2 linked regions of the Mus musculus genome follow. The protein of the gene in region 2 purifies or fractionates together with the protein of the main gene of each other region. This does not show direct contact. Links are inferred from orthologs where the notes say so. Each region holds a gene or a part of one and is shown on either strand. Other genes may lie near its edges.

The links.
Region 1: the proteins of Cul4b (region 2) and Dcaf11 purify together in Homo sapiens (affinity purification with mass spectrometry; 9 studies listed by BioGRID and IntAct, counting the BioPlex papers as one, with this or other methods). This does not show direct contact. The link is inferred for Mus musculus from reciprocal best matches to the Homo sapiens genes CUL4B and DCAF11.

The regions. Positions count from the first base shown.
Region 1 is NC_000080.6:55,558,780-55,562,837, forward strand, and holds the start of Dcaf11 (DDB1- and CUL4-associated factor 11), read left to right. Parts: upstream 1-1,249; 5' UTR 1,250-1,342; intron 1,343-1,661; exon of another isoform or gene 1,662-2,430; 5' UTR 2,431-2,508; coding exon 2,509-2,663; intron 2,664-4,058. UniProt on the Homo sapiens protein: May function as a substrate receptor for CUL4-DDB1 E3 ubiquitin-protein ligase complex.
Region 2 is NC_000086.7:38,534,692-38,538,206, forward strand, and holds part of Cul4b (cullin-4B), read right to left. Parts: intron 2,584-3,515; coding exon 2,431-2,583; intron 1-2,430.

The DNA of each region.
Region 1 (4,058 bases), on a different chromosome or scaffold from region 2:
GTTGCTGGGATTTGAACTCAGGACCTTCAGCAGAGCAGTCGGTGCTCTTAACCACTGAGCCATCTCTCCAGCCCTCGGTTATTTTTATTTTATGAAGAACTGCAGCAACATTGGGTTTTTGTTGTTGTTTGGTGTGTATGTGTGTGTGTGTGTGTGTGTTCAATGTATACACTGAACCCAGTATATACAGAATGCCAAGCAAGCACTCTCCCATAGAGACATATTCCTAACCCACTAAAAAATTCATTTCAGTGGCTACCAGGTATTTTTATAACTGTACAAAACTGACCATAATTTATTTAACCAACCTCTTATTGTATATTTGGATTTCTTTTATTTCCAGTATCCCACTATTATCAGTGATTGTTAAGCAGAACATACATTTTTATGTAGGTCCAAGTTTGATTACAGATAGCAGTATCACTAGGTCACAGTTTAGGGCTATGAGGGCTGGCTAGGACTGGTTAAAAAGATAAAGCATCTCTCAGATTAGACATTCTGAAAGGGTGTACCAGTAGAAATAAGGCACTTCTAGGCACATTTGATTGGCAGACAAAATTTTCGAATGAAGTAAAAAGACAATCAGGTTGGGAAGTCTGTATTTGAAGTAATAAAAAAACGAAAAAACAGTCAGCTCTTAAGAACGAAATACTTTTAAGAGTAGACTTGAGCAGATCAAGGAGTGGAAGAAGTCTGAAATGTGGAAAAACAGCCACTGTGAAAATAACCTCAAGTAATCAGTTAAAAAATATCTACAGAACTTGTAAGAACTAGAAGAGTAATAAGGAAGGAAAAATACTAAAATTATTACAGACTTTCCAGGCCAAATAACCCAAATACCTAGGAATCCTGAAAGTTCCGTGTATGTTTGAAATACCTGTCCACATAATTAATGGAGACCAGCCAAAGAACAAAATGCTGGGCGCTTGTTTACAGTTAAGAATTTTAAGGCAGTGACAACCTGCGTGGATCGGGAGAAAATGTTGGGGTCTCCGGCCTAGAGACCAGGAAACCTGACACAGAACCTGTCACATGCTCGCCCCGGGAGCTGAGGTGTCCTCGCGATGGCCCACCTCTGGGCCAAGGCCGACATCGCCCGCCTCTCTGGCCTAGGAAACCATCCCAGACAAGGTAGGGTTGGCCTTGGACTCACCCTAGTTACTCATAAACCAACGGGAGGTGGCGAGCGACAGAAGCCTAGGGACGGTCGGCAAAGCCCAGACCCAAGGGGCGCGTGCGCACTAAGGCAACCGGAAAGGCTCCGGGGACGGCCGCGGCACTTAGGGAGCGTATGCAAAGACCAAGAAAGGAAGCCAGGGGTCGTCAGACAAGACCCCCGCTGGTAAGCGTGTACACAGCAGGGTGGAGAGGCCCAGGTCCCACCAGTGAGGACTGCTTTCGACAGGCCGCTAGCGCTACAGCCAGGGGAAAACGGTTGAACTGGGGTTGCTGGGAGCTGAGGGAATAGGAGCGATTGGGCACGCAGTAAAAAACAAACAAACAAACAAACCACTCGAGGCCAAGCGACCTTAAGGGACCACCTCGCAGACTTGATGTCTAGTTCCGCTACGTCTAATGCAGGTCGCAGCCAATTCCAGTCCGCTACGACTAAACGCCCCTCTTGGGTTGAGCAAGTTCCCCAGCCCACCTATCAATCACAGGTCTCAGCTATCCAATCAGAGGGCCGAGGGGGAGGGACTGCTTGGAGCGTCGAGTGACGTCAGCAGGCCTGGCCGCCAGAAGCGTGACGGACGAGGCTCGCGACTGAGGAGCTGTTAGCCGGCGCCGCAGCGATAGTCGCTGTAAACAGGGCCTCGCCCCTGCGGGTCCTGCGACAGCTCCTGGCTGGTGGGTGGTCTCGCGTGGGGCGGTAACCGCCAGACGCCGGGGGGAGGTGCTTCTCCATTTTCCCTCCCCCTGTTGTACACACCCCCGGCGCACCACGTGGGCGTGAAGCTAAACTGGAGGGGGTGTTAGGCTGACTTCTAACCTCATTGGCTGTTGATGCTGCCGGCCCGTGCAAGAAATTGCTCTGATTGGTCAGTAGAGGGAGGCGTGGGGGGGGTCTGAGTTCTAACGCCTCTGGTTGGTTGTGTGAGATAAGCTAGTGAAATGCGTTCTTCCGCAAGGGGTTTTGATTGGTCAGTCGGAGAGGTTATCTGGGATTCAGCCATCCCGGGCCGGGGACTTTGATAGGTGAGTTTGGTTAGGAAAATGGGAAATTCCTCTTCGTGGACTCTGATTAGTACGGTAGGGTTGCACCCTAGGTTTCATATGGCTTTCTTTGCTTCACAGGATTGAGAAAGGTTTATGTTCCCGATACCCTGGGAGCTGTCATAGCTAAAGAGAAGGAAATCTCAGTCTCCTGGAGGGGTCACCCCTCTAAAGATAGCTTCTGCCCCGTTTCTGGAAACCCTGGTATTTCTACAGCAGGCTTTGCTTTCACCAAACCCAAGTTGGAGACAGGAGCAGCCCCTGCGCAAGACATAAGGATGCTGTAACCAGAAGATGGGATCACGGAACAGCAGCAGCGCCGGATCCGGGTCCTTAGAACCCTCTGAGGGCTTGTCCCGAAGAGGGACTGGCCTGCGTCGTAGTGAGGAAGAGGAAGAAGAGGATGAAGATGTGGATCTGGCCCAGGTACTGGCCTATCTCCTCCGCAGGTAACTTACCCTCTGCTGTGACACTAAGTGTCACAATGTCTTGACCTCAACTTCAGGCAGGAAAAGTGCAGAGGATAGGGAATGGCATTGTCCCAGGACAATGGTTGTGTTTGAACAGAACGACCTTTCCCTGCTGGATGTCCATACACTCTGCGTGGCTCCCTACCCAAAATGGTTCTTACAACTCTCATAGTTGAGGAGCTCCTAAGGGAAGCCTTTTCAGCTGTGACAACACAAATGTCATCAGTTTTCCAAGAAAATAAAACGAGAGAAGGGAGAGGGATTATGGAGGAAAGGAGAGATGTGAAAAGAGTTGGGAAGGGGGTGCTAAGTCACTTGCCATGTGAGATGAAGCCATGTGGATTTACTTGAAAAACAAGTTTACATCGGCCTTACTAGCCCTGCTCTTAAGAAAAGAATGCCCTCAAGGGGGTGACCACCAGGAACTAAGAACGTTTTGTTTGCTTGCCTACGGTTCCTTGGGAAAAGATGAACCTAGTATCCCTGCAGACCCTGTGTTCTGTGTTGCGTTCCTACACCGACGGCTGTGAGGGTTGTTGTTGTTGTCAGCTGGACAGAGTCTGAAATCACCTGGGGGACACGGCACACCTGGGCGGGATGGATTATTTAGCCTCTCTGGGCAGGCCTGGAAGGGATTATGGCGATTGGGTTCATTGGAGCAGGAAGACCCACTCTGAGCGTGGGTGGTGCCATTCCCATGTGGGTCCTAGACTGTATAAAAAGGAGAAAGCTAGCTAAACCCAACCATTCATCCCGCCTTCTTCCTGACTATGAGTGCTGTGTTACCAGCTGTTCCTGGCCCTGCTACTTTGATGGCCCCGCTATGACAGACTCTGCCCTTGAGCCATGAACCAGAATATACCTTCTCTCACTTAAGGTGCCTTTGTTGGGGTATAGAAGGAAAAGTGGAAGTGCTCTCCTAATTCTTAGCTCTTGAATTCAGGATATAGCTTTGTGGTAGAAGCTTACCCAGCATGCACTGAGCCCCTGGGTTCAGTCCTTAGCCCTGGGGGAAAATTATATTTAGCCCTGAGAGAAATCAATTTAGTAGGTCAGTCTTCATAACCTGTTAGAACTCTGTGTTCTTACTCTTAAGAGTTAAAGCTGGTTTCCTGCTGTGTCTTTTTTGTGTGTTTGGGGTTGGTTGGTTTGTTTATTTTATTTTTGAGTCAGAGTTTCTCTGTGTAGCCCTGGCTGCTCTGGAACTCACTCTGTAGACCTGGCTGGCCTTGAACTCACAGAGATCCACCTGCCCCTGCCTCCCAAGCGCTGGGATTAAAGGCATGCGCCACCACTGCCTGGCCCTACTATGACTTGTAGGAGACTTAAAATCCAATTTCAAAAGGAGAACCAACTGACTAAGAGCCAGATAGC
Region 2 (3,515 bases):
ACAGAGACACACAATTAGAAATACTATCTTTTAATAAATAGTCTTGCATTGGTAATTACACTTATCTCTTGAATGAATGACCCTAACATAAATAAGTATCTCTACATCACTTACAATACCTGAGATAAAAAGGAAAAGAAGCCAGGCATGGTGGCACACGCCTTTAGTCCCAGCACTTGGGAGGCAGAGGCAGAGGCAGGCGGATTTCTGAGTTTGAGGACAGCCTGGTCTACAAAGTGAGTTCCAGGACAGCGGGGGCTATACAGAGAAACACTGTCTTGAAAAACTAAAAAAAAAAAAAAAAAAAAAAAAGGAAAAGAAATTGAATATTCAATACAGATGCAAGATTTTGTTAAGATAAGAAGCTTAAGTAATATTGCTGCCTCAGCTGGTAGCTAAGAGTACATGTCCCTACAGACAGTGAATGCATCTCTTTGGAGTGTGTGTGTGTGGGGGGGGAAGAGCAAGCCCATGGGCATGTTTGAGAGAGGGTCTCTCTTTGTAGTTCTGGCTGTCCTGGAACTCACCATGTAGACCAGGTTGACCTACAATTCACAAGAGATCTGCCTTCCACTGCTTCCCAGTCAGCTACTGCATTCTTTTTCTTTTCTTTTCTTTTCTTTTCTTTTCTTTTCTTATTTTTTTGGTTTTTCAAGACAGGGTTTCTCGGGCTGGCGAGATGGCTCAGTGGGTAAGAGCACCTGACTGCTCTTCCGAAGGTCCGGAGTTCAAATCCCAGCAACCACATGGTGGCTCACAACCATCCTTAACAAGATCTGACTCCCTCTTCTGGTGTGTCTGAAGACAGCTACAGTGTACTTACATAAAATAATAAATAAATCTTAAAAAAAAAAAAGACAGGGTTTCTCTGTGTAGCTCTGGATGTCCTGGAACTCACTTTGTAGAGCAAGCTGGCCTTGAACTCAGAAATCTGCCTGCCTGCCTCTGCCTCCTGAGTGCTGGGAAGTGCTGGGATTAAAGGCGTGCACCACCACGTCCAGCTCAGCTACTGCATTTTTAAAGAGTGTTTTTCAACCTTTGGTTTGTTGAATTCACAGATATGGAATTGATAAAAATGAAGGACTAACTTTGAAGCCAGCCGTAGAACACAGTAAGACCCTATCTCAAAACCAAACCAAACCAAACCGGAAAAAAGGAAGTAAACTTCCATCTAATAGCCCCAGGTTTAAGTATCATGTTGGTTTCAGTATGATCAAAGTTCTAGTTATTTCTGATGTTCTAGCATTAATAAGCAATCTTGCTGTAGGTAAAATGATTAGGTGAGCATGTATGCAGGTGTGGTAATGAGGAAGCAGTTTCAAGTTTGAAGAAGCAGCCTACCTTGTAATAGTGGAAGTAACAGCTACTACAAGTAAAACCTCAATATATACTAAACTCATGATCAAGTGTTTTATACTTCCTATCTCAATAAGCCTCAAAATAATACTATAAGGGATGCAATGGTGGGTCTATGAAGGGGAAACTCGAAAGGGGGATATCATTTAAAATAAAAAAACGAATAAAATGATTAATAATAGAAAGTAATAATACTAGGAGGTATGTATATCTATCAATTCTGAACAAGCTCAGCAAAATTAAGTGACTTATCAAAGTCCAAAGCTGCCAGGAATCCTAACAGCCAGGAGTCTAGGCAACCTCTATCAAATGTGTATCACAGACACTTTAAAATGTTTTACAATTTGAACAATAGTCTAGTACACCACCACATTGTCTAAGCACCTTTGCTACTGAACATTTGTACTGGGCCATGCCCATATTGACCAATTCAGGTTTACTAGAACCACTGCTAGACATTTTCAAAACAAACAAAACGTGCTTTAACATTAAGATATAGCCAGAAGTCTCTGTAACAGATTTTAGTAAATATTTATACAGGTAACCAAGTTTAAGATATAACTCAGTCTAATAATCAAATCTGTCAAATGCCAAGGTATCTCCAGAAAAGAAGATTCAAAAGATATATAATAACTAACTCAAAAATTTCAAAGTCGGGCTGGAGAGATGGCTGAGTAGTTAAGAGCACTGACTGCTCTTCTAGAGGTTCTGAGTTCAAATCCCAGCAACCACATGGTGGCTCACAACCATCTGTAATGGGAATCCGATGCCCTCTTCTGGGGTCTCTGAGGACAGCTACAATGTACTTAGATAAATAAATCTTTAAAAATAAAAATTTCAAAGTCACATTTACTCACTAAACTTTCAAGTACAGGGAGTGGCTTTTGTAAACTAGTTCTCAATTTTGCTAAACAAAGTTCTTTTGTGAATCACATGTACAAATATAGAAAATGAATACATGTTGTTCCAAATGGCTTTAAGTCTTTCATCTTATTTGCAAGATTAGTGTCTAAAAATTAAATGTATTTCCTTTCACCTATAATACATTCAGTGTGGAGACACAGAAATACCTACTTTAACTGGAAATTTTAGCTGATTGTAGACTTCTGAAACAAGAAGATTGTGGCTAAGTGTTTTTCTCATCTTCATAATTCGAACGATCGCAGCATCAATTTGGTACTGTCTGTCTTGAAATACTCTTTCTGTAGTGCTTGCTTGTTCTTCAACCTAAAACAAGTTTTCAAATAAAGTCAAACTTAATTAGGAACAAACTGTATATTAGGAACATAACAATGATACTGTTCTAAAGAGCTTGACTTATCTAAATGAGAGGAAAAAAAAAACTTAACAAACATAGTTCCTTTCTGTTGTCACTACTGCTCTGGACCAATAAAGTAATGCAATACAGAAGAGAAAAATACCACCTTTGAGCACTGGGAAGTAGAGTCAGTTGGTCAAGTACTTTCCCTGCAAACATGAAGATCTATCTCTTAAATTTAGATTTTTGTGAACTCATGTAAAAACAAGATCCCTAGAATACCCGATGGACATCCTGCCAGCCTAATTAGTGAGTTCTAGGCAAGTAAGAGACCATGTAAAGAAACAAGGTAGATAGCGCAAAGGAATAACACTGGAGGTTGTCTACTGGCCTTCCCTAAAACGTAAAATGTTTATATCCACTGATCCAAAAATTTACTTCCATAAATTCTTTTTAAAAATGTTTATTCCTATTTCATGTGCACCGGTCTTTTGCTTGCATATATGTCTGTATGAGTGCAAAAGATCTTCTAGAACTGAAATTACAATTAGTTGTGAGCTGCCATGTGGGTACTAGGAACCTAGTTTCCCTGGAACAGGCTAACTCTTGCTAAGTAAGCCATCTCTCCTCCCCCATGAAGTCACTTTAAGGAAAAGATCAGAGAGATTAAGATTTAGGTATGTTCAAGATTATATAACTTTTTAGCATTCTGTTGATTTTTTTTGATGTGTGTGTGGGGAGGGTATGCCTATTATATGAGTGTGGTTGGGGACATGAGAGGACAACCTTGGGCATTGGAGCTCAGGTACCTTTCTTTCATTTTCTGTTTGGTCTCTCTTATGAGCTTGGAACTTTGTCCTATAGCCTAGGATACCTGGTCCATGAGCCTCCAAGGATCTAC